Arabidopsis thaliana: one gene and its partners. The protein of the gene in region 1 interacts with the protein of each later gene in a biochemical or structural test. Each region holds a gene or a part of one and is shown in the gene's direction. Other genes may lie near its edges. The genes, in order: ACS7, XBAT32 and CPK16.

Evidence for each region.
Region 2: of the proteins of ACS7 (region 1) and XBAT32, one has a biochemical effect on the other in vitro, tested with the Arabidopsis thaliana proteins (one study listed by BioGRID).
Region 3: of the proteins of ACS7 (region 1) and CPK16, one has a biochemical effect on the other in vitro, tested with the Arabidopsis thaliana proteins (one study listed by BioGRID).

Annotation. Positions count from the first base shown.
Region 1 is NC_003075.7:13,270,817-13,280,894, forward strand, and holds ACS7 (1-amino-cyclopropane-1-carboxylate synthase 7), read left to right. Parts: upstream 1-4,383; 5' UTR 4,384-4,490; coding exon 4,491-4,679; intron 4,680-4,779; coding exon 4,780-5,075; intron 5,076-5,271; coding exon 5,272-6,130; 3' UTR 6,131-6,372; downstream 6,373-10,078. UniProt on the Arabidopsis thaliana protein: 1-aminocyclopropane-1-carboxylate synthase (ACS) enzymes catalyze the conversion of S-adenosyl-L-methionine (SAM) into 1-aminocyclopropane-1-carboxylate (ACC), a direct precursor of ethylene.
Region 2 is NC_003076.8:23,391,118-23,401,983, reverse strand, and holds XBAT32 (uncharacterized protein), read left to right. Parts: upstream 1-4,333; 5' UTR 4,334-4,838; coding exon 4,839-5,033; intron 5,034-5,133; coding exon 5,134-5,193; intron 5,194-5,275; coding exon 5,276-5,347; intron 5,348-5,446; coding exon 5,447-5,613; intron 5,614-5,704; coding exon 5,705-5,865; intron 5,866-5,976; coding exon 5,977-6,035; intron 6,036-6,125; coding exon 6,126-6,172; intron 6,173-6,266; coding exon 6,267-6,416; intron 6,417-6,504; coding exon 6,505-6,596; intron 6,597-6,671; coding exon 6,672-7,195; 3' UTR 7,196-7,399; downstream 7,400-10,866. Other genes in the region: AT5G57770 (auxin canalization protein (DUF828)), read left to right, coding at 1-56, 132-302, 380-429, 510-558, 655-890; AT5G57760 (uncharacterized protein), read right to left, coding at 1,023-1,259; AT5G57750 (RING/U-box superfamily protein), read right to left, coding at 1,684-2,316; AT5G57720 (AP2/B3-like transcriptional factor family protein), read left to right, coding at 10,458-10,535. UniProt on the Arabidopsis thaliana protein: E3 ubiquitin-protein ligase that mediates ubiquitination of ACC synthases (ACS). Negatively regulates ethylene biosynthesis probably via ubiquitin-dependent degradation of ACS4 and ACS7 enzymes.
Region 3 is NC_003071.7:7,766,668-7,777,908, reverse strand, and holds CPK16 (calcium-dependent protein kinase 16), read left to right. Parts: upstream 1-5,126; 5' UTR 5,127-5,281; coding exon 5,282-5,710; intron 5,711-5,864; coding exon 5,865-5,995; intron 5,996-6,113; coding exon 6,114-6,155; intron 6,156-6,249; coding exon 6,250-6,361; intron 6,362-6,452; coding exon 6,453-6,531; intron 6,532-6,604; coding exon 6,605-6,774; intron 6,775-6,852; coding exon 6,853-6,979; intron 6,980-7,064; coding exon 7,065-7,180; intron 7,181-7,263; coding exon 7,264-7,371; intron 7,372-7,460; coding exon 7,461-7,523; intron 7,524-7,605; coding exon 7,606-7,779; intron 7,780-7,859; coding exon 7,860-8,024; 3' UTR 8,025-8,388; downstream 8,389-11,241. Other genes in the region: AT2G17905 (Ta11-like non-LTR retrotransposon), read right to left, coding at 104-622; SDG37 (SET domain group 37), read left to right, coding at 1,219-1,333, 1,412-1,557, 1,646-1,780, 1,930-1,984, 2,074-2,192, 2,289-2,377, 2,442-2,523, 2,613-2,717 and 6 more; AT2G17880 (Chaperone DnaJ-domain superfamily protein), read left to right, coding at 10,251-10,733. UniProt on the Arabidopsis thaliana protein: May play a role in signal transduction pathways that involve calcium as a second messenger.

The DNA of each region.
Region 1 (10,078 bases):
TCTAAGATGTCATTACCTAACGCACTATATGATTTGCCTAAGAAATAAGTATTCTCAATTGCTTGATAATGAAATATCCTCCAATTGCTGGTATATCAACCTTTCGGATATAGTTACCATGTGTAACAATCTATTGTCTATGGCTCGAGCTAAACACTTGCATTCATGTAGCTCATCCCCAACTCCTTGAAAGTGGGACCTCTGGAAACCTAGCTATAAATCACGTTAAAAATCTTCTTAAAACAACTTTTAGAATTAGCATATGATACAGTATTGACCTACTGTACAATGGGTTTCAATGTATGTGTAAGTGAATGACAAGAAATATCAGTAGAACTTATAGTTTTCTTAAAAAAGCTTTACTTAAGCTGTGTAAGTACTTTTTAAAGTAGGTGCATTGGTTATCTAATGAAAATAGTCCAATGGTCGAAAATAAATAGACACTCCACACACATTAATTAGTGAAATCCACATATTACGAACAATAGTTTATAACATTAACAGAAAAAGTTCATAGACTCATAGCTATATAACTAGATAATATACTTAATTAATAACAAAGATTATAGATCGCAATATCGTTTGATGCATGTCTCGTATATTTTCATGAAGGTGCTCTCCTAATTAGCCGCACAAACAGTCCCCAAACTCCACTTCTCTTTCACGTTCTCTATTACAACTTGCTTCTTTGTTTATTTTAAATTTATACTAAAATAGTCGAGCTATTAGTATTTAAATTAGTACATACATCAATGATTGCTCCGTAAGATATCATGAACTTCTTCTTGAAGATTTCGTGTTAGAATTAGTAATTGATTGCAATTTCTTATACACTTATGAGAACCAATCAATCAATTGGTGACTAAATTTGATTCTATGTTCCTATGAAAGTACACAAAATTGTAAACAATCCATTGGATTGTCACGTTTGTCGAAGACATAATCCAGCATGATTTGAAGCCAATCTATGACATTAAACTAGAAGAAATCAACCAATTCATTAACTCCCCAAAAAGCTTGCATCTAACATGTTTGTTTTCAAAACTTAACAAACAATTAATGTGTAAATAAATCACGTTTCTAAATGTGGATCGTTACAATGTCTTTCGAGGATGATATAGATCATTTAATTCAACTTAGAAAATGATAATTTTTCACTCTGCAAACTAAAATCGTTGTGGTATATACACACATGTATATGTGATGCATTACGTTTAAAACGCTTTAATTATCGGAGTTTGGCTCCATGTACGCTAGCTATAACACTCTAACCATCCCGTCTTCTCAATATATATTTTACAGTTGAAATAAAGATTAAATTTTGCAATATATATATAGATATTCACACTAATCCTAAAAATTTATCACATAGTATATTAGTTTTTTTTCTTCAAAGTCTAGGTTATTGTAATTTCTATTTATAAGACCATATAAAACATATAGATTAGCATTACCCTTTGTGTTGATCATGTACTGAGATTCAATCTACAGTTTTATTTCCGAATCTTAAGCTGGTGGGTTCGATCACATGCAAATTACAATTGTCTATTAGTATTACGTAAATACGAATATACATCCATATGTAAGAACACGTGTGTATAACTGTGTATATCTCCAATATACGTGCATCTACATCTATAAGTTTACATTGTTTTCGTTATCTTCTACCTAAATTTATTAATTTTCATTTGGGTCCTATTGTTATGTCGATTAATACCCTTTAATTTAGGCTGATGTTCTAAGTCCAAACATACAAACAGCCAATCTTAACACAAAATCTTAATCTCAGCATGCGGGCAAAATTGCGACCATACAACTATTATGCTATGATGGTTCTAGTAATAAAAGCAGGCATTTAGTTTGGAAAAAAAGTAAAATCTCCTTAGAGTACTTTAATTAGTAACCAGTGCTATAAACGAATTGTAACCAACACGCAATGGAATCAATAACACTCTATTAACTTAATATAGATATGAGAAACTCGTGCTTTTAATCTTTGTTAAAACGTCGACAAAAAAAAAGTTTTTTTCTGTTAATTAGTTCTCCTCTTTTTAAAGTTTTAAATTTTTGATTTCATAACTCACTATTAATTGCGATATGTGGGGTCACCTAAGATCCTCCAAGAACTTATATTCTTGATGAACATATATTGTTCACAAATTGGAATCATAATCTTATCGTATGATTGTATGTATATGTGTCACGTAGTTGGACTTTTAACCACTATTAGATCTTTCCAAATATCCTCTCTCTTTTTTTGCTTCAAATTTGTTTTTTTTGTGCACACACATCTTATATTATTAATATATAAAATTGGATGAGCTTTATAAGAGTTTTAATTACATATAGGAAAAATAGAACTAATTAATAAGATTTAGATATATGTATAAACGTATTTATATATTGACATGTAAGTTTTAAAATAATATATCGTCATGGGAAATATTTTTAAAAATCTTAAAATACAGTATGGACTTATATATTCATACTAAAACCTAGTGGGGTTTTTTTTTGTGTGTACATGAAAAGTGGTAAAAGTATTTTCTCTTTTTTAATTTTGTTAGATTAAAAATATGTTAAGGTAGCTTGTTTTGTTTATCGTCATGTGTTAAAGTGTACTATATGGTAAAGATTTATACAGTAGCATGTGTAAGCGGGTTCATGAGTAGGAGAGAATTAAATTCTGCCTTAATTAAACAAAGGTTTCGATTAGCCGTACGTACCGCCATTAATAGGGAGCATAATTATCACCCATTAGGGAGCATACTTTGACCACTAGGGGAAAATTAGAAACCTATGGTAATCGTATTAATTAATACGGCCAAAATTAATTCTAATTAACATATAAAACTGTTTCCCACAACTAATTTTTATAGATATATCACCTTTTAGATAAAATATAGAAATTCTTTCTTCATATATATGTTACTAACAAATAAAAATCATACCGATGCAATGACCTACAATCTGACCGGTTAGCTCAACAACTCAGTATTTGAGAAATGTAATTTTGTTCGATTACCATAGGTTTTTATTTGTATAAATCTAAATATAATCATATTACTTCTTTTTTTATCGAAATATAATCATATTAACTCACGCGAAGAAACTATAATAATCCATCTGACTTCTGGTTCGTAAATATTGTCATACTTAATTAGAGACGAATTGTTCTCATGGTAATCAGCAAAAGATCGAATTTCCTAATTTCTAATACTAGTCCAGAAATATGGTATAGATTTTTATCATAATTTTTTTTGTCTAGATATAATAAAGTGTAAATGGATAGCCACCCACCCACTCCTCTCGTATAATGTAAATTTCTCATTTTTTTAATGATGCCAAATCCATATAATCGGAATTTCAACCACCGTATTTGGGCTATAGATCATAACTAAAGTTATGGAAATAAATGAATAAATTAAAAAATGTTAAGTAGAAAAAATAAGTATCAACAAGAGAGAAGGAAGAAGAAGACATAAGCTAACAGTTGTCCGAAATTGATTTTGGCAAAAGGTGATCTTTGATTTTGCTTAAAACATCGAATCAGAACATTTAATTTAGTTGTTTCCTCATTTCTTTCATCTATGGAGTTTAGTATACCCAATAAATTTGATTAGTTACTTATTCCAGCTCCTATTATTATATTTAACACACATAATGTAAAACAGACGCGTATAATTTATATAGAAACTGTATGTAGTTAAAAACGACATACTAGTACTGATGACTCTTTGTTTACGTAAATTTGTATTCTCAAAGAAAAAAAGTAACTACCTTTTGTTATGGTCTCTAAGAAAAAACAAAAGTACTTTACAGTTTTCTTAGTGACCATTCTGTAAGAATATCAAATAGTGAAAAATAGGTAAACGAGAATCTTTTTTTCTGTGTAACAATATTGTATTAGTGAAGGATTATTAATTACGAGACTATTATCTAAAACGCATTAGTGACCCTTTTGGATTTAAATCGTAGCAGCCGACTAAACCAAAATATTTAGAAAGTTTTCCAAAAACAAACAACATTAAAACACATTTAAACTCGTACACAATAATAGAAACTAAACTATTTTTAGCAGACTAAAGTCTAAACAACATTACGTTTAAAAATTGATAATCAGTGTTTTATAGAACTGGCGATCTCCTAAAGATGAACCACCGAGAAGTTTCAAGATAAAAACAAAAATAAAAATAGCCAAACACTCTTATCTATTCATCCATTTGCAGGTCAATGACACCGTATTTTTCCACAATCGAATCTTCCTTATTCTTTACACAAACTTCTTCTCTGTATGTAAGTAAACTAATATTAAAATTGAACTTGTCAAAGACTTTCCTCTTGGTCACGTCTGCTATATATACTCCTTCATTCACACAAATGTTTAACTCCAACACACTTCTCTTTCTCTCAACCTCTCTCCCTCTCTCTCTCCGATTGTGTTTTTAGAGCTGTCACGTGTCACGTGTCAGGTTCGAAGCTCTAAGAAAAAAATGGGTCTTCCTCTAATGATGGAGAGATCATCAAACAACAACAACGTCGAGCTTTCTCGAGTGGCGGTTTCAGACACTCACGGCGAAGACTCACCGTACTTCGCCGGCTGGAAAGCTTACGACGAAAATCCTTACGACGAATCTCATAACCCTTCCGGTGTCATCCAAATGGGTCTCGCTGAGAATCAGGTAATAAAATCTTTCATATAGTCAACTTTTTTTTATTAATTGTTATATATTGCGATAATGTATTAATTGTCTCTTTCGATCATTTTTTTCCTACAAACAGGTCTCGTTTGATCTTCTTGAAACTTACTTGGAGAAGAAGAATCCAGAAGGTTCGATGTGGGGATCAAAAGGAGCTCCTGGGTTCCGTGAAAACGCATTGTTTCAAGACTACCACGGTCTCAAAACTTTCAGACAAGCCATGGCTAGTTTCATGGAACAGATTCGAGGAGGCAAAGCTAGATTTGATCCTGACCGGATCGTCCTCACCGCCGGAGCCACCGCCGCTAACGAACTCTTAACTTTCATTCTCGCCGATCCTAACGACGCCCTTCTAGTTCCCACACCGTATTATCCAGGGTACGTCACACTTTATAATAAGATATATAATGAATTAAATTAAGAAATATGGTCATTCGTATATATGAAGATAAACTACAAAGAAATAGCTGCAACTAACTAACACCATTTAAAAGAAAGTTATAATCTAGCAAATCTTTTATTTTCGATATTTAATGCATTGTATTTACCGAACCGTTTATTTATTTCATTACAGATTCGATAGAGATTTGAGATGGAGAACCGGAGTGAAAATAGTACCCATCCACTGCGACAGCTCGAACCATTTCCAGATAACCCCGGAGGCGCTAGAGTCGGCGTACCAAACGGCTCGTGACGCGAACATTAGAGTCCGAGGAGTGCTCATAACCAACCCATCGAACCCATTAGGGGCGACGGTCCAAAAGAAGGTTCTAGAAGATCTCCTTGACTTCTGCGTACGCAAGAATATTCACTTGGTCTCAGACGAGATCTACTCCGGCTCCGTCTTCCATGCCTCCGAGTTCACAAGCGTTGCCGAGATCGTAGAAAACATAGATGACGTGTCAGTAAAGGAACGAGTTCACATCGTCTACAGTCTCTCCAAGGATCTTGGTCTTCCTGGTTTCCGCGTGGGAACTATATACTCGTACAACGATAATGTTGTTCGGACAGCGAGAAGGATGTCGAGCTTCACGCTTGTCTCGTCTCAGACACAACATATGCTGGCTTCTATGTTGTCGGATGAGGAGTTTACGGAGAAGTACATTAGGATAAACCGGGAAAGACTTAGAAGACGGTACGATACCATTGTGGAAGGGCTTAAGAAGGCAGGGATTGAGTGTTTGAAAGGGAACGCAGGGCTATTTTGTTGGATGAATTTGGGTTTCTTGCTCGAAAAGAAAACTAAAGACGGCGAGCTCCAGCTTTGGGATGTGATCTTAAAGGAGCTGAACCTGAATATATCTCCGGGATCTTCGTGCCACTGCTCGGAGGTCGGATGGTTTAGGGTTTGTTTTGCTAATATGAGTGAGAACACTTTGGAGATTGCGTTGAAGAGAATACATGAGTTCATGGACCGACGAAGGAGGTTTTGAAATGTTAAAAAAAAAAGTAAAGTAAATCCGTTTTTTTGGTGGTTAAATATATGGGGGAGGGGTAATTAATTTTTTAGGAAAGAGAAGATAATTAATTTAAACCCATTGATGTAAAATGGGTTTTGATTTGTTTCTCTTTTCTAGATATTATTGTTTGTTTTCTTGCTTGGACAAAGCAAGTTAATTTCATGTTCATCAAGGTTGATTTGTAATATTTATTGTTATAAACGAATTTTTTAAAATATAAAGCATTACAGAAACATCTCTATCGGAAAATTATCCCTATTACTTAAGTACGGCAAAAACAAATATATTTATATTGTTAAGATAATGATACACCTCGCAAATATATTATAGACAGTAGATACAGATTTACTTATTGTTCTTGAAGGTTATACATCTGTATGTAATATTTGTTGACTTTTTTGTCAAGTTAATATTTGTTGTCGTATACAGAAAATGGGTCTAAATAATTTTATTTCAATATGGTTATGTCATTGTTGTTGTAATTTTCTGTAAAGAGGTTAGTGTTGTTATGTGGTCGGGTCTTTTTTTGACTTGGTCACTGTACAACTCTAACAAGAAATGTGTTCTTTTTCTTCTCTTAATACTAGTTATCCGAATACACACACGGTTTCGATGAGATCGAACTAGTTTTGTGTGGCTACCAATTAGTGAGGTATTTATGACGATTTATGACAAAAAAATATTGAAACAACTATTATATTGTATTTAGGGTTACATGTATAATTTTAGGATTTTGATAACCAAATAATTAATTGCAGTAACAAATATTCTTAAATAAAACATTTTGATGTTTGTTCTAGATTAACATAATAGAAACCTTTAACTAATCATATAACTCGAAATATAATATCTAAATTACAAACAAATCAGCTTATAAAAGAAGTGCACATTCAAGTTTTCCGTACGTTACAATGAGAAATATATTTGTTGTGATATCATTCGGGCGATTTTTAAAATTTGGTCTACCAGATATTCATTTTCAATAACGAAATTTGAATGATTAAATTTTAAACAAATGGTTGATTCCTAGCTAAAGTCTCTAAGTTATTTCGTTTTCTTGGCCAAGTCGAGGTCGTATACCACTTGGTTGAATAAAAACAAATCAATTTAAGTGCAAAGACAATGGACCATTGTCAACGGTCTCTACTAAAATAATATAAATAATGCAAATTATAGTTACATGTATTCAACACACATATTTTTTTCTAAAAAGTGTATAAATATACAGTATTGTATTTGGAATGAGTTCATCTATACAATAATGACAGGGAATGCCGGAATGGTATCTATGGTATAGAAGTTGCATGCAACAGAACTATAGACATTTCTTACATCATGCACCTAGAACTAAACCAATCATGTTTAATACATCATTTTTTTTATATTAAAAACTTGCTTTAGATAAATCACTAGATCGAAAGTCAGGACTATAGTATATAGGTAAAGTTGAACCTGGCGAACTCTAAATTTACAATTGAATTCTGAATATTTTTCAATTGCACCAACATTTCCAAATTTATACGTATTTTTATAAATCCATATCATATATATACTTTGACTTAGTTAGTTTTTTTATGTTATGAGTATTTATTGCTTTCGTTATGTCATGCACAAATAATAAACATATACGTACATACTTTGACTTACATAGCTTATAGCTATGTATAAAATTAATGTTATAATACTTCAACTTACAGCTAATTAGGAGAAGTAGTATTTGATTTGACTAGTCCTTCCAAAGGAAACCCCCCTTAATTAAGCTTATTAAATTGAGTTTCGAAAGCGTCAAGGAAATTTAAGAATGTAAGACTAGTAGACTTTGCATGCATAATCCTTTTAAATTAATCACCGATTTGACATTTTAGTCTCTTAATTTTGCATGCTTCATTATGTCTTTGTACTTTACTACTTTTGACTTTATACATGCTCATGTCATTATCTACGTATCTAATACAATTTCTTGTACTCGAAGTTTTGGGTCAAACCTAGTTACCTTTTCTTCTTGTTAATTTTAGCATGAATTGATCATTAATCTCAATAACATTATAAAACAGATACACATTTATTCTAACCAGTTTCCTTAACCGATTAATTATGATACATTTCAAAAACCGGCTACGTGATAGGCGTCTTCGAATTTTGGTGCCTCTTATATATTTAGTTCCAAAAGCTTTGCACGGGAATACTTTTGACTTTAGTACGTTCGTGTATTTTATAGTAATGGTCAAAAGATTCAATAATTTATTTGTAATTTTGTGACAACTGGTACCAAAAGTTTTGTGACAGGTGCAAAGATAGACTTATATCAAACTTTCGTATAATAAGAAAGTTTTTTTTTTTGTACGTTTGTCAACAACAACATGCAAAAACATGATATTTTCAAATAAAAATAGCATTTTTCATACAGACAGTGCAAGTTTAACGAATCAAATATAGCCTTTTCATTCATAACTAATGCCGAATCTAATCTAAACGCACGATGATGCAAAATACAATCAAAACCCCACGACTTCTTTCAAGAATTATGAGGCCATTTACTTTCTCTTTTGTTTTTCTTTGGTACGTAAATTTACAAATGTGATTGATTTGCCTACTAAACGAATTTTTTTTTATCTACCCTTATGTATTCTGATAGTAAATGTTCAAATTCAATCTTACTTCTTAGAATCAAAAATGTGAAGAATAAAAAACCTCATCCACACGTGTGTCGCGGTCGTTAGGATTTTCCAACCCAATGCTACTTTTTGAGGGTCAAAGGTCAATTGAACAGCTGGAAGAATCTTAGCCGTCAGATCAGTCCCCACCGCACACGCGTATCACGCTGACAGGCTGGCGCCTAAAATCATTGGCCAAGTCCCACGTGTGAACTAATCATCAACGTCGTCATTAGTTTTACTACATTGGTCTCGTCTTCGTGTCGTATTACGATCGAGCTGCTTCACAATTATGTTCTTATGGACTTATCTATACAACAACCCGAAACCTATAAATCTTTATTGTCAAAAGGAAATACACATTACACACTATACACGTACTTATATTGGACCCAAAAGTGGTTAGGTTAAAAGTGTTTGTATCAGTTCTAGTAATTACTAAATTAGAATATTGGTATAGTTCCGTTTTTTTTCTTTTTCTAAATGATAATTCAATAATTCATATCATCCATTGTATGTAATCTGTAAAAAGTACGGACAGAAATTCATTGATCAGAAACTTTTTTTTTTTAATAACCAAATTTTGTGGCATCATCATTAATTCCGAACACAGAGATTGATATATCACACTTACATATATAGATTAGTTGGATGATTGCTATATCATTGCTATTGAAAAATTGCAAAAAGTTCTTCTAATTCAGATGATATAAAATGTGACTGTACATTTACTTATTATTTAATAAAGTCGAATTTGTAGTTGAAAATAAATACTTGTAATCAAGTGGTTTGTACTACTAGTAGTCTAGTACCCACGTCGTATCATAACTTCATTCAAATTTGCAAGTGTATGTGTTGGAGACTTTGAATTATATACTAAAAATAAATAGGCAAAAAATAAACTGAATTTCCAAAAATTCTTTAAATGATTTCGTACGTGTATTATTGCTTGTGATCTTTGTTTTTGTTTAGATGATTTTAGTGAGACGAGAAAAAAAGAGAAGAAGATAAAAATGCATGACATCACATGTCAGTGGATCCAGAGTATTATTTGATGACAATCTAGTCAGATTAGGCATTCGGTGTTTAATCAAGTACTTGTATATGATAGCTAGCTAATCATTAAGCAAAAAAATGAGATCCAATGACTAATTAATATATTTGATTAGCGTGTTTAATGAAGATGACATATAATTATAATACGGTGTTGGGTGAGATATACTTTGTTACTCGCTTTGTACATACAACAAGTGTTTGCATTATTTTA
Region 2 (10,866 bases), on another chromosome or scaffold:
CATGACCGGGACAAGTGTTAGTGAGATACTCACTCTCACTGCCTCAGCTACAACTTGTAAGAAGATTGTTTTTTGTTTTTGTTTCTATAAGAATGCTCTGTTTCTGAGACATTGGTGCTTGGTAAAATAAGCGTTGAGAGGTGCCGCGACGCTGAAAGCAAGAAGAGGTTGCAAGATTAATAGATTGAATGGCTCTGCACCTGTGTTGCCTATTGAAGACTCTTCTTATTTGCCTCCTGAATTCGATAAGAACACATCTGTTCTTGCTAAGGGAACAGATCTCTTCGTCGAGACACCAGATGGTATATAAATCCTCTGTTTTTCTTGTTGAACTCCTTTGTTTTGTAGAGAGACTAAAGAGATCTTTGGATTAAAACAGGGGATTTCAAGGCTAGGACGGTTTCTATGGTCTTAAACAAAGATGGAAAGGTCCTAAACTTGGCTCTAATCCCTCTTACTCTTAACCAATGACGTCTACTAATCGATGATCTTGTGTTTGATCTCCACAGGTGATTCTTAAAATGAAGAAACATAATCTACTCAGGACTAAGAAAGAAAGTATGCAGCTAGCTTCTCAATCTTTTTTTTTGTTTTAGGTTACTTAACCTTCAAGCTATGATTTAAAACATTGTTTTGTATGTGTTTTGTGTTTAGGTATTGTGACGAATGTTCATGTGGAACTTTACAAAGATTCAGATAGCGAAGACAACAACATAGAGGACACTTGTTATCTCATTGTCCTGAGGACGAACAGAGGAGCTATCAAGTTAGACATGGCCGACGATTACAATCGTTACAAGACATGGGTCACAACGATCCAACACATGCTCACTCTCTCTTCTTCCTCCTTAAGTACAAATTACGCTCTCACTTTCTACAACAAAAACTAAAAAAATTCATCGCCTTGTTCATCGTTTTTCTCTGTGTAATTTTACTTTATCCCCTCCTCTGTTTTCTTATGTCTCTCTCGCTTGATCTTATAATGTAATGCATAAACAACTTGAGAACTTACGTTCTTTTAATTAGACTCCACATACATCAGCTAGCTTTTTAAGTAAATTAACCTGAGATTTGAGAAGCAAGAGATGCTGAATTGACTTGAGAAACAAGGCTTCCTCGTCTTCGATCTCTTCACAGCCTGGTACAATCCTGCGAAGGATCCCGAGGTTTCTTTGCATACAAGTTTCTCGAAACTTGGGTTTCTCCTTTTGTCCTTTGCGACCGCGGTGCCTAACCTTCTTACACTTCACCATCTTCATCACTTCTTGCACTCCAAGCTAAGATATAAAGCCATATATATAGAGAAACTGTAAAGATGACAACGATATGGAAGGAAACAAGTTGTCTGAAAAATGTTTTGACAGAGTAAAAAGAGACAAGGAACCCATATCAAGGCCATCACCACTGAACCTGTCTCTGCCAATCCAATCTTGCAATGTCTAATGTTCAATGTATCTGTTGTGGTCCTCATTTATGCATACTTTATGCCATTATTGTTGTTTCAATTCCAACATGGTTCGTTTGGTAGGATTTAACCAATACATGTACACGTATATGAGTTGATGGCAAAAGAAAATGGGCCGGACGGTTATAAGAATACAGGCTTCACGTTGACCCAATTAGGCCTATCTAGAGTTTAATGCCATTAACTTCCCAGTCAAGAAATCAGCAGCCACTTAGGCCTCATTTTGACTCGACATCATCAAGATCGGTTAACATGAACGACGAATCGGAGTCTTGGGAATTGTCACCATCAGATTCATGCACAAGGACAATAGTGGAAGACGAAGCAGTGCCAGTGAGGCCAAGGAGGAGGAGGTTGTCCCTGCAGAGAGGACATGTTGAGTTTGTGAGGAGCCACGTGTCGATGCACTCCACATGGAATGCATGGCTGCATTTTGGTAAGAGCCGGAGCTCGTCTTCGGCTGTGAACTCTCTGAGACAAACGGCGCAATCAGAGAGGTCGTGTCGAAGACCAATCATGGTCTTGTAATGTAACAAGGGCAATGCATCAATGAATGATTGGTCAATTTCTGCGTCATGGAGATTAAACCGTGTTTGATACCGACCTTGCAGAGCAGTAGAACTCTCTGTAATGCCATCATAGGCGTCGTCAAGTCGAGTTTGGGGTCTATGTAAGAATTTGACCAGAAGGTGAATCAAAGCAGCTACAAAGAAGATGATGGAGAGGAGAGTGATGTAGAGAAGTACGATGGGACTAATCATGCATATCAGATCAAAGTCTTTGTCTGTTGAAGAAGAATATGAAAATGAAATCGATGAAACAGAGAGAAATGAATCACTTTTCTGATCCATGGTTTTCTTGAGAAAGATTCAAGAGGAAGGAGATGGGGAAATAAGTGAAAGAAGATAAAAAAAGTGAATAATAGGAAGACTCTGTTATTGTAACCAAAAAAAGTAAAGAAACAAAACGTTGACGTTTCAGTGCAAAGTGAGTTGTGGTTTTCCTAAATATAGAAGTCAAGTATTCATAGATTTCCCAATACAGATGTATTGTTGTTCAAAAGCAACGTGGTTTCTTTGACATTAGACTAACAGAGCAGTAACGGATTAACAAACAGAGGAGAAAAAATTAAAAGGATTCGTTTTTTTCTTCGTTAATCAAGACAATTGGGAATAACAAAACAAGCATCAAAGATATTGTTATATGAACGTAATGATCTTACGAACGAAAGACAGACACTTTAACAGAATCTGTTATAGATTTGTCAACGAGATGAAGAAAAAAAGTAGCCTGACAAAATTACAAGCATGCGTATTTGCAGAGGGCTATACCAAGAACAACATAAAAAGACTCAAGGGAAGCTGGAACAGTAGGTGCAAAATGAGGATGATGCAGTATGTCAGAGACATGAACCATATGAAGTTCCCTAAAGCTTGGAAATTCAAGTTTAAATTTAGCTTAGAGGAGATCAAAATGACAAAAAACAAGTTCTGTTGTGAGGTGGAATTCGAGAAAGCTGCAGTGCATGTTGTTTGAGAACTTGAAGAAACTTTTGGGACATAGGCTTATGCAAGATGTTTCTCGCGAAATTGAAGCAGTGCATGGGAAGGAATGAGAATTAATGTTCAAAAGTCTGGATCTGGCTTGTCAAAGCAGACTATGAAGCCAAACTATGAGTGTGTGTTAATGTCTATGGAGTTGGCCATTCAACAAAGGATATCAGAAAGTCAAAATTGAGCTGGTTATACTCTAGACTTTTCAGGAACTTCACTTTCCATTGCAGCTATTTTGAAAATGTGTACAGAAGGTGAGGATATATGGTTACATTTGGAGGACGACTTGATGAGACATTCTAGACTACTTCACATCTCTCTCTTACAAAACACTAGGACAGTGAGGGTGTTGTGTTTGTGGTTCCAACATGTGCACATGCACCTACTTGATTGTGTGATGTGGACTCGAGAGAACATAGATGTGGAATAGTGGACATGTTTCAGACTGAATTACACAACTCATTTTTGGTGTGGAGAAGTTCCACATAAAGCACAAGTGGAGATTTAAGCTTGTACATCCAGTTTGGGAGTTGGAGTTTAGTTTGGATAGTGTTAACTCTGGACAAAGAAACTCTGCTACAAGTTCCAAAGTACAAGACAAATTGTCAACTAAAGAATTTTCTGTCAATTTACAGCAACTGGCCACAGTTTTGCACAATTGTGAGACACAAATTAGTGATTCTACAGAAAGTGAGATTGAAGATAGCTTGGGTCATCTTTAAAATCAAGTAATATTTGTTGAGAGTTTTTTTGATAAATATATTTGCTGAGAGTTGGCATGATCATTCTGATTTGCTAATGTTAAAATTTGAAGTCATTAATGTTATAGGTTTGCTAATGCAAATGCAATTATAAGCATGACGTGACACGACCCACATGCTCCTCCACATTTCATTATTATACACTTGTTTTTCCACTAATGTCATGTTACTTTTGGAGACTTGCTAATTGAATCATTATTTGTTGGCACAAAAAGAACCTATATTTATTCAATTACGCAGTATAGTAAGATTATTTATTTAATTATATGTAATAAAGGAGAAAGCTTTCTTATGGTGTGATGAAGAATGTCTTTTTTTTTTCATTGTTAGAGAATCTTTATAATCATTAAGATTTTGGTTAAAACAAAAAAACGCGCGAATTCCGGCTATTGGTTTATCGAAACCTCTGGCTACAACGTTGGCTTTGTCATATTTTTTTTTTGTTCAAATAATTAAAAGTCAATTAATTAGTGTCACCATCACAAAATATTAAGAGATCCTCCACACACAATAAAAAATTTAGAACAATTCTTTTCCATTTTTGGTTTAAAAATAAAGTAATCACCAATTTGTTATTATTGTTTGTTATTTTCCTTAATCAATTGACCAAAAAAAAAATCCCACAACTTAATTTCACCATTCTTTTTGATGTTCTCTGTATTACAATTGTCAGAGAAGTTTTCTGGATGATCTTTCCTCTAAAGTTTAAAGCTTTTTTTGGTCAATTCTTTTAAAGTTTTGATTTTTTTTTGGTTAATTCTTTAAAGTTTCTTTCTTTCTTAAAGAGGGATCATTATGATGATGATGATGATGATCTGATCTGTACATAAGAGAATTAAAGAACACCAACAACAACAAAAACAGAGGAAGAAAATAAAAACCAAATTTTTCTTGTTGCAATCATTTGAAATTAAATTCAATTCTTCGATTCTTCCGAGCTGGTTCTCGAATTGGGTTTGCTGCAAATTGTGAATCCAATAAAATTTGTTCGTGTTGTTGTGTTGATGGTGATTTGTTAGGGTTGATCCGATCAAAATTTCAATTTTGTATCGTAAAACGATGAGGTTTCTAAGCCTCGTCGGAAACTCATTCGGTTGTTCTGCGTCCGGCGAACGCTTAGTATCAGCGGCCAGAGACGGTGATTTACAGGAAGCTAAAGCTCTCTTAGATTACAATCCAAGACTCGCTCGTTACTCTACTTTTGGCGTTCGTAACTCTCCTCTTCATTACTCCGCCGCTCAAGGCCACCACGAGGTAACTGTAATTACTTGAAAGATCAATACTTTGTAAGATTAGAGATTCTAAAGTTCTGACTTTTATGGTGATTGGTGATTTGGGTTTTGTTTATCTTCAGATAGTTTCTCTGTTGGTGGAATCAGGAGTTGATATTAATCTCCGGAACTACCGTGGACAGGTGTTGTGATTAGTGTCTTTTTGTTCTTTGCATTATTGATTGGTTTTGAAGTAGTCTGAATACAAGAAATTTTTGGAAACAGACGGCTTTGATGCAAGCTTGTCAACATGGTCATTGGGAGGTTGTTTTGATTCTGATTCTTTTTGGTGCTAATGTAAGACTTTGATCAACTCTTCTGACTGATTGTGATTTAAAAATATGTCAGGGATATTGGAACAATGATGATTGTGTTTCTTGATTGTTCGGGTTTTAGATTCACAGATCAGATTACTTAAATGGTGGTACTGCTTTACACCTTGCGGCTTTAAATGGTCACCCTCGGTGTATCAGGATCTTGCTTTCGGAGTATATACCAAGTGTTCCTAATTGCTGGAGCCTTTTAAAGAATAAGAAAACTTCAGTTGCTGGATTCGATTCTAGGTCAAAAGTGTTTTTTGTAAAGAATTGAGGTAATGCTGTAGTCACTTGATGATGATTAGTTGAATGTGTTCTTTGGATGTTGTGGTTGTAGTGTTCTTCACGAAGTGATCAACAGAGCAGCAGATGGTGGAATCACACCTCTTCATGTGGCGGCTTTGAACGGACATATAGAGACGGTGCAGTTACTCTTGGATTTGGGAGCTTCGGTTACTCAGGTCACTGTGGAAGATGGAACTACTATAGATCTTATAGGTTACTATCATATGCTCTAATTGATTAACTTTGACAATGAGTGAAGAGATTCTTTATGTGAAAGACTTAATTTTGTTTTTCGCTCCGGCTCTTTGATTTTATATATTGAAGGTGCTGGGAGTACAGCTCTCCATTATGCTTCATGTGGTGGAAACACGCAGTGTTGCCAGGTATACATGCTTAACTAGACAATCATGATGCTTCTGTTATGTTTCGTTTAAAGTTCACATATGAATTCATTTGGCATTTGTTTTTCTCAGCTTTTGATCAGTAAGGGTGCTTGTTTAGCTGCCGTAAACTCCAACGGGTATTAGATCACTCTATTTCTCAGCATGCTAAATCCAATCAACCAGTTTGATATAGACCTCAATGTCTTAATTCGCTTCATGTTTTGGTTTTAGATGGACACCAATGATGGTAGCTCGTTCATGGCACCGAAACTGGCTGGAAGAAATCCTGAACCCAACAACAGAACAACCACAACTCCATTTGCCAAATGTCCCCTCTCCTTTCCTCTGCCTTCCTTTAATGAGCATTGTCAATATTGCTCAGTATGTAAACTTTACACCTAACTGAAACACCCTATATGATCGCATGATCTCTGTGGCTGATTGGTCTTTTTTCGTTTGTGGATTTCAGAGAATGCGGCTGGCGAGAAAACGATTGTCTGACTCCATGTCGTGACCCTTGTGCCGTTTGTTTGGAAAGAAAATGCACTGTGGCAGCAGATGGTAATGTACCACTTTCACTACCGAAAATGATCTTTGCTTAAAACATTGAATTGATTGTTGTGTGTGACATAACAGGATGTGCTCATGAGTTCTGCACAAACTGTGCATTATACCTAAGCACCACAAGCATAACATCGTCAAAGACCTCAAACGTCACACCAGGCTCTGTCCCGTGTCCTCTCTGTCGCAATGGCATTGTATCTTTCACCAAACTTCCCCATACAACGGCAACAACAAGAACATCAACATCATCAAGAACAAGCATCTCCTTGTCCTTCTGCACTTGCTCCTCTGATGTCTTAGACACAGCTCTCCTAACTAACCCTCACTACAGTTGTAAACCGGTTGTGTCAAGAACGGGTTCTCGAACTCCACAATCCGCTAGATCATCAGCGTTTCGGTCTCTTAGCTGCCGCCGGTTTCCTCCAAGTCTCTGCCTTGGTGGCTCAGATGTTGATGAACCTCGAAGCCGGTTAATTGGTGGATCATATTCAAGATCCGGTGTAGGATTCAGGCGATCAACGTCGCAGGTTGAAGGGAAACGTTCTTGGTTTTCTGCACTTAACCATTGTGTTACAACCGGTGGAAGTGCTTGCTAACTCAAACTCAATCCTCTTTTTTTTCACCTTTTTTATAAAATTTTTGATCCCAGTTTTTTTGGGATTAAAAATGTGCTAATTGATTCTGTGAATGGTGTGGTGATTATTCATTTTGTAATAAGTGAAAATGTTGTAATACAAATAATTAATTTGGCCTTGCCATTACATTGAAATGGTGTGTATATAAAATTATGTTTGAGAGTGAATTTCTTGCGTAGCCATTAGCATCGTTAAGGTATCACTTATCAAACACTTAACAGATAAACGAAGATTACATATATTTAGATAGACGTTTCAGAGGAACTAATAACTGAGAAATTATGGGATTAGTAGTGAATTATACATAAAGCTCAGGAGGAATAGAAACAACAAACCAATACAAAATAAAATACAAAAATGAAGAGAAGATAAAAGAAAATAAAAGAACAATACAAAACTAATAAGCCTTGCAAGGTCAAGAAAAATCTTCTAAATTATAGAAGAACTTTCTGATTTAGTAGAAACAAAACTATTTTTTGTTTTTTTCTGTTTTCATAGAGAAAAAAAAAAGCTCAGCGAGGATAATGCCAATGGAACACTAATGTCCAAGAAATCTTCTTCTCCGTGAGATAGTCACACGTTCGAAAGTACAACCATGATGTAGTGGAGAAGATAGAAAAAGTTGAAAGAGAGAAACGATCATCATTATGATCATAAATATCATGATGATTATGATGATGATCATCATGATCCTAATCAAGAAGAAGAGGAATGATATATATGATGCTTTTGCTCTGAAGTGATGATGTGAGAGGGCAGGTGAAGTTTGTGTTTATATAGGGAAATAAGAGGATAAAATTAATGGAAGCTAGACCAGTACTATTTAAAACAAAAAAAAAACATTAATGGAAGCCATAGAAATCGTAAAACAAAATCAACATTAATAAAAATATACATACATTTACAAAAAGGTTATATAAACAATTATTTAATAATCAAAAAGTGTGTAAATTCCAAATTTAATTCTATGAATGAAGTATATGTAGAGATAAAAAAAATGCAAGAACATGCAAAGCTCTCTATTAATCTACATGTTTTTTCTATTAATCTACTTTTACACGTTACATTGAAAAAGTAATGTGATTAATTCCACAAATAGTCAGAATCTAAGAAAAAAAAAATCACAACAAAATACGAGTGCCCATACAAAAGGATAGCTGAAGTTACACGTTAAATGAATTTCTAGTTGATAAGCACTTTGATAAGCACTCTGTTCAACATTCTTCAAGTCAGTTCTTAATGCTTCAAGTTAGTAGTTGTGTGCTTGTGAGTAAGAAAGCTAGAGGTAAAGAGGCTAAAAACCTCACACACTTTAAAAGCATAAAGACAGTATTTTGGGTAAATCATGCATATGCTCTAGATTTATAGTAGAAAATGAGAAAAAATCACATATTATGCTCCGAATTTAACATGATCGTATGAAAAATTCGAACAATTTTAATTTTAAAGAGGTTTTTGATAAAAAAAAAAAAAAGATCGTTTTTTGAGAAAAAAGTTTGGCTCGCTTTTTTTTATCAAGAATTGCTTCGGTTTTTAAGATTTTAGTTTTAGCTGAGACTGTTGGTTTATGCCACACTTTTTACCGTATGAATTACGAAATTTGGGGAGTTTCCCATTTGACCTTTAAAATTTCATCTGTCCTCTTTTCTTATCATTTAAGAAAAATTAGGGCTTCCCATTTTCAGAAAAATAAGTTAAGTTCAAAATTGAAACTGCCAAGCAATAGTCAATACTAAATTTTATATAAAGCTAGACAGGATATTCATTGGATTTGTGTTATGTCCTTCTCTACCCTCTCTCTCGTGTAGTAAATTAATAGTCAATACAAAACGCTCACCTCCCTCTCTCTTTTGGATATCAAACACATCAAATCACCTCCAAACTCAAAGCAAAAAAGATGAATAATTTTTCCTAAATAGATACATGTATAGTTTCGATTAAAACACACGTACGGTATAATTAGACAACTTACTTTACATTGTATATTTTTAATGAATTTGGTTAAGAGTTAAGACAATCTCGGAATCTCCAACTAAACAAGATGATATATTTGTTTAAAGGAAAAAAAAAAACAGTTTGATTGTATTTAATGGCGTTTTTATATGTAAGAGGAGAAGAAACAAAAAGCTGCAAATGTATAAATAGGTGTAATCATCACAAAACTATGGGATGTGACAATACATTGTCAAGCTTCTGTCTCTTTCTCTGTTTTCTCTCTGATGGGTTTTTAATTTCTTAATTATATGCAGAAACAGTGAAACAAAAGTAAGTTTTTCGAAATTGAAGAAGTGTAACATGCATGCATATTTACCAATTCTTCAACGTTCAGATTGTCTAAGTCAAAGAATCCCTTATACCAATATAGAAAGTGGGGCACGACGACTTTGATACTCCATATTTTTAATTCGGGTCAGAAAAAATACTAATTATTTTTGTCAACTCGGAAATAAACTTTATTTTTTGCAAAAACTTAGCAATATTATTCATGTAAGAGGTTTGGGAAAATTGCCAAAAAATAACACAAGAAACTACTGTTTCACTTTGCACTAAAAAAGAAAAGAAAAAAGGGTACAACTGTTCACTTACACCCTAAATAAGAAAACACGGTCGTTTTAAGATATACGTTCAAGTACTGTATTTTTTATAGTAAAGCGAATATGACAGAAATCTTTGACAGAGCCAGGCCTAATGTTAAAAACTCAGCCCAAAATAAAGCCCATATACGTGTTAACATTGTTTTTCTTTACAACCTTTTTAAAACGTCAAGGTCTCAACCATATTTTATTCTCTTGTCCTGATGTCGGCCCATACAGGCCCATATTTGTTTAATGAGTATACATGTCTTATGATTGGGCTTATTTGAAACCAGATTTTGAAACAAACCTATCACAAGTGACATGACCCATTTTTATATCATTTATTTGTACAAATTTTCTATTTTGGGAGTCTCTCTAGTACAAAGTTTTTCAAAGCTCTCTGCAAATATATCCGTGTTTATTGCCAATTCCAGTATCAAAGCTCTCTCTGCAAATGACGTATCTAAAAATTTGCTTTATGACTTTGACTAAACTGATTTGAGTGGTACAACACACACTCACGCAAAACCCAATCTCACACTCAAAGACTCTCACATACATTAACTACATTGTTGAAGATTCTACATAACGCTACAGCTTTTTCATTTGTAGAATCCTGACTCAAGCAAAGACAAAAAAAGAAGAAGATGGTGTTAGAAAATGGGTTTCCTCCATATCCAGATTTCCTCAAGATCTTCAACTCCCATGAAGATTCTCAACTTTTGGTAAGTAACTAGTATCTTTCGTGTTTATCTTCTCCAAATTATCTGTCATGTTAGATTGTAGAATGACTTAAGATTATTTTGAATTTTTGATGAGATTATTCTTGAATGGTTTGTTGTGTGTTTTGCGTTCGTGTAACCTTAGTAGATGAATTTCTCTCTTGGCTCTGTTTCTGTTTAACACATAACTTTTGATTTCTCTGTTCTGTTGAACTGTTAGTTTGATTCATCTACTCTTGACCTTTGAATCCTCTTTCCTCTACTATTCGAGAGTCCAAAAGTGAACTTTGTTAAGGTTTGGTTCGGTTCTTGATGTCTAAGGGTCTGGTTCTGT
Region 3 (11,241 bases), on another chromosome or scaffold:
TGACAGTGGAAACACCTTTTCCTAATCCTCTCATAATCAAAAGAAATGAGAACAAGTTCACCTGAAGGAAGTTGAACCTCTTTATTGTTACGAAGAGGATTGGCTACAGAAAATAGAACTGAACTCGAACATAATCTTGAACCTGTGATTTTTCAGGATCCATGACAACCTGCATCACTTTCCCTAAACATCCCGCAATCTCCTTAATCGTGTCTTCAGTATAATAGTTAACGGGAATATTTCTGATTCTAACCCAAATTGGGAGAAACCTCAGATAGTCATCAGGTGGTTTCTCTATCCATTTTTGCATAACAACTGCCCAATCATCTTGTGTCCACACTCCAGTCTTCAAGATTTCTTCTAAGTCTTCCTCATATTTAAAGAAAAATTGAAACCGCTCTTTCGAAAGAGCCACACCTCTAACACGATTAGATAAACGCCAAATACGAGGCATGTCTAAAATCCAGTTAGACATCCGTTGATTTTCTGGATTTAAGAATCTTCCCAGAATACTACAGCTATTGCGTTCAATAGAGGAAAACTGCGGAAGATTTGAGAGAATCAGAGGTTGATTATCTTCAAGAGACATGTTTTGAATAGCTTTATCCAAGTCTTTATCCATGAAAACTTCAGCAAGCAGATGACAGAACAAAAACAGAGCACTTTGTAAAAGTTTGTTTTAACCGGACCGAAAAAGTTAATATCTCCGGTAGAAGCTCCGCTCAGATGAAAACAGCTGAGAGAGAAGTCCTTGAGCCCAAAAGAAATCTGGGACGGCGATTGATTAACGGCGACGCGAGATCTTTATTTCACCTACTATGAAAGAGAACAGAGAGTTTATTTTTACTATTGAACTTTTTCTGTGTTATAAAGTATACTTTTGAACTTTTCAAACTTTAAATTGATTACTCCAAAATGCAATCAGTTGTTTTCAGTGACCAACGAAACTGAAAAATTAACAACCAGAATTTATAAAATTAGAAAATGGATCTAAATGTAACTAATCAAACTTCCGTCAAATTGTGGAAAATAAGAAAAGGGGATGCAAATGTAAATAATCAAATTTCCGTCAAAACCTGGGAAAAAAAAGAAGAACTCGCGGTCCGGGTTTAAAAGCGAGGCTGACCAAAACCGACCCTAATTTGTTGTAAACTTGAGATTTGATTTGGGACTCAAATTCAAAGTTACCGTTGTTCTCGAAACCTCGCGTAAGTTCCAATGGAAGCTTCACTAATGGCGGATTTGCAGAGATTTCTGCAAGATCGCTGCTTAGGCGTTTCGAATCTCCCACAGAAAGGCCGCTCTCTATTCACTGCCAGAGATTTTCGTCCAGGTTCGTTCGTTTCTCTCTCGCTGGGGTTTAGGGTTTTGTTCGTCTGAGACTTATTCTGATTCCTGTGTTTTCTTCCAGGAGAAGTGATTCTAAGCCAAAAGCCATATATATGTGTTCCGAATAATACATCCTCGGAATCAAGATGTGACGGATGTTTCAAGACCAATAACCTTAAGAAATGTTCTGCTTGTCAAGTGGTTTGGTACTGTGGGAGCTCTTGCCAGGTATATCTGATATGAGTCCTCTCTGGAGAAATTCAGTTGATGATTGATTCATATTCTAAGATTTGTTGTTTGTTGTGATTCCTTTCAGAAGTCAGAGTGGAAGTTACATCGCGATGAATGCAAAGCTCTCACTAGACTTGAGAAGGAGAAACGGAAGTTTGTTACTCCTACAATACGTCTGATGGTTAGACTTTACATCAAGAGGAATTTGCAAAATGAAAAGGTTATCATCAGCTATGTAGAAGTCTAGATACATCCATATTTTGTTTTTGGCTGCTAAATATGGAGAAGAAGGCTGATTCATTGGTTATTTGTGTCATATTGATAGCAGTCTATGAATGCTAAATTCTTAATGTGCTTTATCTTGTCCAGGTCCTGCCAATTACGACGACAGACAATTATAGTTTGGTGGAGGCTTTGGTGTCCCGTATCCTCTCTATGTGTGCCTTATAGCTTTGTGAAATTGATGATCTCTTTACCGCTAGAAATGTGTATTCTTTAACCTTTATATGTTAGACATGTCTGAGATTGATGAAAAGCAGATGTTGTTGTATGCACAGATGGCTAATCTTGTGAACTTGATTCTTCAATTTCCTAGTGTTGACCTAAGAGAGATCGCCGAGAACTTTTCAAAGGTTGGTGATGTGGTCCCGGGATTTTTTGTATTCGTCTTTATTGGAATGTTGTTTAGGGATAATTACTTAAGCCACTTTCATTTCTACTGAACACAGTTCTCATGCAATGCTCATAGCATTTGTGATAGCGAATTGAGACCTCAAGGGATTGGATTGTTTCCATTGGTTTCCATCATTAATCACAGGTAAATGCTTTTTCTTTGTGTTCTTTAATCACTTTGTTTCCTGCCTAAATCTTTTGCTCTGTAGCTGCTCTCCCAATGCGGTTTTAGTGTTTGAGGAGCAGATGGCTGTTGTTCGGGCGATGGATAACATATCAAAGGATTCAGAGGTAGTTTTTGCTTTGTTTCGTCTCTCGTCTTTCGTAATTGCTAGTAGCACACGGACATATAGCTGTTAGATCCTTTTGTCTTTGGTCAGATAACTATCAGTTATATTGAAACCGCTGGAAGCACTCTGACTCGGCAGAAGTCTCTGAAAGAACAATACCTCTTCCACTGTCAGTGTGCCCGTTGCAGTAACTTTGTAAGCAGTCGCTAATTCTCCCACTTATCAACGAATGGAGTTAATTCTATATTTTGTTTACAACCTGTACCATCATTTTTTGATACTTAAGGGAAAACCTCATGATATTGAAGAAAGTGCAATATTGGAAGGCTATCGGTGTGCCAATGAGAAATGCACCGGTTTCTTACTCCGTGATCCTGGTATGTTAAGATTTAACTTAGGTAGTTTGTATCCAAGAACATTTCTTGATCCCTCCAGTCCTCATTTGTTTACTTTTGCAGAAGAAAAAGGCTTCGTTTGCCAGAAATGCTTGCTTCTTAGGAGCAAGGAAGAGGTTAAAAAGTTAGCAAGTGATCTCAAAACAGTTTCAGAGAAGGCTCCTACATCTCCTTCCGCAGAAGGTATCTGTTGCCTTTGCTTCCTCAATACCTGCATTTACATGTCTGAACAAGATTAACTGATCTTCGTTAAATTGAGCTGTGTTGCAAGTTGTCTAAGAAAATCTTTGATCATTTTCAGATAAACAAGCCGCTATTGAACTATATAAGACAATTGAGAAACTACAAGTTAAGCTTTACCATTCTTTCTCCATCCCTTTAATGAGAACCCGTGAAAAACTTCTCAAGGTACGTATCTTTAGGACTTTTGGAAGTTTTACAGAGTTTTGAAGACGAGACAGATATGGTTTCTCAAAGCTTGCCGTTACACATTCTTTTGCAGATGCTAATGGACGTAGAAATCTGGAGAGAAGCTTTGAATTACTGCAGACTAATAGTCCCTGTTTACCAAAGTATGTTTACTTCATCTTGATTATTACGTTGCTCGCTCCTTGACGCATGTTCGATCAATATTTTTCTTTTCTTTAGGATACCTTCTAGTATATAGATCTAGGTGTGGGATTTATATCTTGAACATAAGTACGAAGCTCTTAAGAGTTTTGTATAGATACATTTACTTATAATTACCGTAGGAACTTATTGCCTGCAGTATCAGAGCTAACTGTACTGGCACTAATGGCTGCTAATTATACCTTAAACAGAAACATCTACATAATAATTATAAAATCATTCAAATTCTTTTGGTGGTTATTACTTGTGCTTACCTTGTTTATAAAATTGCAGGAGTATATCCGGCAACCCATCCTTTGATTGGACTGCAGTTCTATACCCAAGGAAAACTCGAATGGTATCAAAGCTTCTTTGCTTTCTCTAGTTTATATTTTGATAGATTTTGAGCTGCGGAAACTGAACTAGAATTTGAAGACAGATTAATGCTCTATATCACGACTATTTAATTCTCCGGTCAAAATCCTTAAGACCAAATAATAAGTGTTTTCCCTCAACTATCAAAGCTACATGTTCTCAGTGTTGGAGACTCTTATTCTACTGTGACTTTTTCAGTCAGGGAAGTGGGAACACGTAGAGATTGGCTAGTGTTAGGCGGAACTTGGCTAATAAGCCTTCAAGATATCCCTAAGTTAGAATCTCTGTGGAAAGAAACATTCGTTTACCTGTAAAAAATTATCATTCATATTTTAACTTTCTACGTGAATCTGAGTCTGAGTGCAATAACATGGTGTCGGTTACTATCATATTCTGCGGATAAAAAAGGTATAATTGTGATGTTGCAGGTTGCTGGGGGAAACCAAAGAGGCGGTGAGTTCATTGATTAAGGCATTTGACATTCTGCGGATCAGCCATGGAATAAGCACACCTTTCATGAAAGAGCTCTCAGCAAAGTTGGAGGAAGCTCGTGCAGAAGCTTCTTATAAGCAGCTTGCATTGCATTGAAAGACGCTTATAATGATGACAACTAGCAACTTTGATCTCTCTCTTGTACAAACTCATGAATCACTTTCTATACTCTCTACACATCTTGAATATATTGAATTTGTCTTTACAAATTCTAGAGCTGAAAACCTGATAAAATTGATCTCCTCTATTTGATCTAATATAATATTTTGGCCACACATGTCAAAATTAGAAATATATAGCCAATTATACAAACTAAATGTAATATGTATTGCATACTCACATGTACCAACTATATGACGATATGTAGTCGCATCACTACTATTTTGTTCCGGTACACCATTCATAGATATCAACTTCAACAATCGTTAACCAACAAAAATATTAAAAAAACATATTGTTATCAAATAATCTGCTCAACAAAAATATTAAAAAAACATATTGTTATCAAATAATCTGCTTGTTACATTTACTTGGATATTTGGATGATCCACTTTTTCATTAATCAGTTTTAAAATTTCTCATCTAAGCACAATATATATAATTTTATTCAAATACTTTATAACCTGAAATTCTTTAATTTCCTACACCCAAAAAGAAAATTTATTTTGCAAAATGGAAAAAAAAAAAAAAGTTTCACCCGAGAAAAGTCTATTTCTTGACACAACGCATATCGAAGCTTCTCCTTCTCCATATCTCTCTCTCTCCCTCCCTCTGGCAATGCTGTTTCGATGGCAACCTCATTTCCTATTCATTAATGCCTCACAAATCCCCTAAGAAAACATCCTCATTGCGTAGGGTCTAAGAAACCGAAATCCCACAAAAAAACTCATGGGTCTCTGTTTCTCCTCCGCCGCCAAATCCTCCGGCCACAACCGCAGTAGCCGGAATCCCCACCCACATCCTCCTCTCACGGTTGTTAAATCCAGACCACCGCGATCTCCATGTTCCTTCATGGCCGTTACGATCCAAAAGGATCATAGAACGCAACCGCGACGCAATGCAACGGCTAAGAAAACGCCGACGCGGCATACGCCACCGCACGGGAAAGTGAGAGAGAAAGTTATAAGCAATAACGGTAGGAGACATGGAGAAACGATCCCCTACGGTAAGCGTGTAGATTTTGGGTACGCTAAAGATTTTGATCACCGTTACACCATTGGAAAATTGCTTGGACATGGTCAATTTGGTTATACATATGTCGCTACCGATAAAAAAACCGGTGATCGTGTCGCCGTCAAGAAGATCGATAAGGCCAAGGTATGATGATGAATCAATCATTTTTGCTGTCTTTTTCTAATCATTGAGTTTTATTTTATTTAAGATTCTTCAGATTTTGGAGCACAAAGATTATTTTATATATTTAAAATATATTCGGATTCTTGCGTTTCTTGATTTGATTTTTGTTGGGTAGATGACAATTCCGATAGCTGTGGAAGATGTAAAGAGAGAGGTGAAGATATTACAAGCTTTAACTGGTCATGAAAATGTGGTTCGGTTTTATAATGCCTTCGAGGACAAGAACTCTGTTTATATAGTTATGGAGTAAGTAAAAAGCCTTTTAGGTCGTGTGTTTTTCTTTTCTTGTAATGCAAGAAAGGCAAAGGGCGAAAACTTCTCTGTTGCTAATTAGTTTTTCCATTGATGATATATTGTTCTCTAGGTTATGCGAGGGTGGTGAATTACTTGATCGTATTTTAGCCAGGTAACTTTAGTAATACGTTTACATGTGTGTTACTAAAATTTTAGAGTCTTATTACTTTTTGAGTAATTAAGCTATTGTTGTTGCTTGTTTCCAGGAAGGATAGCCGTTATAGCGAGAGAGACGCGGCCGTGGTGGTGAGACAAATGCTGAAAGTTGCGGCTGAGTGTCATTTACGCGGTTTGGTTCACCGAGATATGAAACCAGAGGTAGCTTAATTACTCCATCATCATGTTTCTGAATGTGTATAGTTGGTTTTATTCACAAGTATTGTTTTTTACTAATCATCTTCTCAAACAGAATTTTCTGTTCAAATCAACCGAAGAAGATTCGCCTCTAAAAGCTACTGATTTCGGTTTATCTGACTTCATAAAGCCAGGTTAGTAGCAAAGTGATTTAAAGTTTTTCTTGACATATCACTTCTTTGATCTAACCATTATGTAACAATGTAGGCAAAAAGTTTCATGATATTGTTGGGAGTGCATACTATGTAGCACCTGAAGTGTTAAAACGTAGGTCGGGACCTGAATCAGATGTGTGGAGTATTGGTGTAATCAGTTACATTCTTCTCTGCGGGAGACGACCATTCTGGGATAAGACTGAAGACGGTATCTTCAAGGAGGTTTGTGTAGTTTCCCTGAAGTAAAAATTCATCAGTAATCGTAAATCTCTAATCATGAAGATGTGTTTATAAACATAGGTTTTGAAGAACAAACCTGATTTCAGAAGAAAACCGTGGCCAACCATTAGCAACAGCGCCAAAGATTTTGTCAAGAAGTTGTTAGTAAAAGACCCGAGAGCGCGATTAACAGCTGCACAAGCACTATGTAAGCGTTTTGACACCATTTTAAATCATTTTGTTCTTATCTTTTCTGATCTTTCTGTAAGGATTGTGGATTTTCTTGGTTGCAGCACATCCATGGGTTAGAGAAGGAGGAGATGCATCTGAGATTCCCATAGACATATCTGTTCTGAACAACATGCGTCAGTTTGTGAAATTTAGCCGCCTTAAGCAATTCGCTTTAAGGGTAATCAAGAAGAGAGATTTGTGTTTCATTTGAGTTTCTTGATGTGTTTGTTTTTATTAAATGAGTTATGCTTTTTGGTCTAGGCTCTTGCAACGACACTTGATGAGGAAGAGTTGGCTGATCTTCGAGACCAGTTTGATGCGATTGATGTTGACAAGAATGGTGTCATTAGCCTTGAAGAGATGAGGCAGGTAAAAATGAAGACAAAACTATACCTCAATCACTAGCAAAATTGATCAGGAAATACTAAGCCTGACATCAGTTCTTGTTATATATATAGGCTCTAGCGAAAGATCATCCTTGGAAGCTTAAGGATGCAAGAGTTGCCGAGATTCTTCAAGCGGTATGCATGTAAATTTAGGTTAATACTAATGATGATGATACTACTCAATCTAAATTCTCTTAATTGTGTTGCATTTATGCAGATTGATAGCAACACAGATGGATTCGTGGACTTTGGCGAGTTTGTCGCCGCTGCGCTACACGTAAACCAATTAGAGGAACACGATTCCGAGAAGTGGCAACAGAGATCAAGAGCAGCATTTGAAAAATTCGACATAGATGGAGATGGATTTATAACAGCAGAGGAACTTCGAATGGTATACACTATTATATGCTTTTTAATCAATTAATGTGACATTACTAATGAGTTCTGTTTTATATGTTTTTGTTTTTGCAGCATACTGGCTTGAAAGGGTCCATTGAGCCACTTCTTGAAGAAGCAGACATTGACAATGATGGTAAAATCAGTCTCCAAGAGTTTCGTAGACTTTTGAGAACTGCAAGTATCAAATCAAGAAATGTTAGAAGCCCTCCTGGTTATCTTATTTCTCGCAAGGTCTAAGAAATTCTACAATATTTTGGAGAGGGATAAAGAGAATCAAATCTACAAAGTCTGGACAAGTTTTGATCCCTTATATAGAAAGAAAAATGGGGATTCAAGTGTAGTAATGTGTTGTTGTAACATATTTCTATAAACTTTCATAAGCAACGGCAAAAGAAATCGATATTCGTATAGTCAATTAGCACAATGTAGTTGATGAGTTTTTGTATTGTGTATACCTATGATCAATCAGAGTGTGTAACCACAGGTTTGTGAATTATGATTGATTTAACTGACATGTGTTATGAATATGTTATATGGATGTTCATTATAGTCTTATAGGTCTATTCATATGTAAGTTATGAATAGAAGAAAAAAAAGTTAATAGTGTTTCAAATAAAAAGTTTGTTAAAATTTTGTTTTGTAGTCATTTGTAGCTAGATGTAGACTTAAATACTAGTAAGATTCTGATTATTATGACGTGGAAATGAAGAAATTCGTTATTATCTATCAATAGAAAAACGCATTGCATTAGGCTTGTATTAAATAGTTGTGACAAGACTAAATAGCGCGTTTTATATAATAGGAAGTTAGGATAAGAGGAGATAGCACACACAACCACGTTTATATACTATTTTTGGTGTTTAGAAATTTTAATTATTAATAGAAAAGTGCATTACAATTATACATTTAACAAAAGAAACGAAGAAATTAGAATTATCAATAGAAAAGTGCATTGCATTTGGCTTGTTTTATTATAGTGTGGAAAGAGTGCTTTTAGGTATTAGGGTGAGACTTGAGAGAGATGGTACACGTAAAGGCCTAAACCATGTTTGTATGTACTTTTTTTGGTGTTTAGAAGTTTGAATGATCAAGTTAGGTTTAAGTGGACTATCAAAAGAGAGATAGCCAAATGATAGTAAACTACATTTTCCGTCTTAAAAAAAAAAAAACTAAAAACACACTAATTAATGTTACAAAGTTTAGATATTTGTTTAGATTTTTTTTGCTATGAGATATTTGTATGTTCTATAATGTATATTAGTATATACATATGTAAACATAAACCTATACTTAATAATATATCTCTAAAATGCATAGAAAAGAATAAGATAAATATAATAAGAATATATAAATTTAAATATATGTATATATAGCGCTAGAAAATTAAAGTTTTAAATAAAATATCTGGTTTTCATTATTTAACACGATATGAAACAAATTTATATATAGATTTTAGACCGATGTCCCTAAATTGTAAAGTCCATATATTTTAGTTGATGGTTGAGGGGATCCTTCTCCCTTTTGATTACTAATCAGACTAATTGTTTGGTGGTTAGTGTAATTATTTGTAACACTAAACTTCTAAAAGCTAATTATGCAAGGCCTCTTGTTGTAACAATAAACAACCTTTAACAATAAAAATCTCAGAAGACACAAAAGAAAAAAAGAAGTCCATATATTTATTTAGTCCATATATTTCATACATATTGTATCATGATTCTATAGTGTCTGTTTACATTTTATGTATCTTTAAATTACACTGAATGGTTAAAAAGATACCGAATGGAAAATGAATGTATCTTTTTGGTATCAAAATATGAAACATCGTTGTCCTTTTAACTTTTCATATTTTTATTGATCTTTCCAACAGTATGGGTGATATTTCATATTAGTTAATAATAGTTACAACTTTAGTTAATAAGTAACTATCCGATTGAAACAAAGTAGATCAGTAATACAACTATATTTACCGATTTCTTCCGGATATTCGCTTAGGGATAACATTTAATCGAATGTTTTAAGTTTCATGAGTACCAAAACAAGAAAACAAATAATAACAATGTGAATAATAATGTTATCAAGTTTTGTTATATGATACCAAAAATAGAAAAATTTGGTAGATGACAATAATAACTTCATTGCCACTCTCAAGTTCGTTCGTTCGTTGAATCTTATCTCACTTCTCCCATTATTTACAACTGTGGATAAGCCTTTTAGTCTGACTCAGCTTTCTCAAGATCCGAAAACACACTGACCCAACCCGGTTCGATTTTGCTTAACCGGACAAGATACATTAATCTGCCTAATCTTCAATTATTTAAAAGCTAACTAAACGTTATACGTACTAATCACTTCTTCCCCTATAAATAAACCTTTCTAATTTCTCATCTCAAATCACACTGCATCACAAAACCCAAATCGGAACTTAAACCAAAAGACAAACAAAAACGCCGTCGTTTCACGATGCTTTCTTCTTCCCCAACCTTCTTCGCTACTCCATTTCTCTCTTCTTCTTCTTCTTCTTCTCCGTCGTTCTCTTCTACTTCACCACCGTCACGCATTTCCCGGATCTCGCCGTCGCTTTCTACAACCACCGCGTCCTACACCTGCGCCGAAGATCTACCGAGATTACGCCAAATCCCGCAGCGATTTTCAGCAACCGCGTCTCTCTACGAGATCCTTGAAATTCCCGTCGGCTCGACGAGTCAAGAGATCAAATCAGCTTACCGGCGACTAGCCAGGATCTGTCATCCCGATGTAGCGAGAAATAGTCGGGATAACTCGTCGGCGGACGATTTCATGAAGATCCACGCAGCGTATTGCACGCTTTCGGATCCCGAGAAACGCGCCGTTTATGATCGGAGGACTCTTCTTCGGAGCCGGCCGTTAACGGCTGGATACGGCAGTTACGGTGGACGGAATTGGGAAACCGATCAGTGCTGGTAGCGAGTTGACTCGATGTGTCGAGTTGGTCCAAAACCATTGAATTGGTTGTAATTAGAGCAAACCCAGAGATTCTGGGTGGTTGTGCCACGTAGGATCAACACGGTTTATCGTGCCACGTAGGATCTGTCGCGTTTTTAGCCTTTGTATCCATAAGTAGTAAGTAGTCTGTATTTAGTATTTACCATCTAATAAAGAAAATAAAAATTTATGTATAACTTAAAGTGTTCCAACTTAGCAATCAATAGTATGTAGCCTTGGAGAAACAGATTTTTTTTGTTACAGGTAAGATTTACATACTGAAATCATATAGCATTCTTAGAAAATTTTAGTTGTATTATGTTGTAGTCACCTAATTTAAAAAGCTGGGAGTGTTTTTTTTCTAGTCGCACAATCAGCCGACATCGACAATAAAAGAAAAGAAGATCTATGTCAAATAGTAACAAAAATACATAAATACATATATATGTAAAGATTTTAATACTGTTGCGGTGCGGTTTTGGGTGTGGTC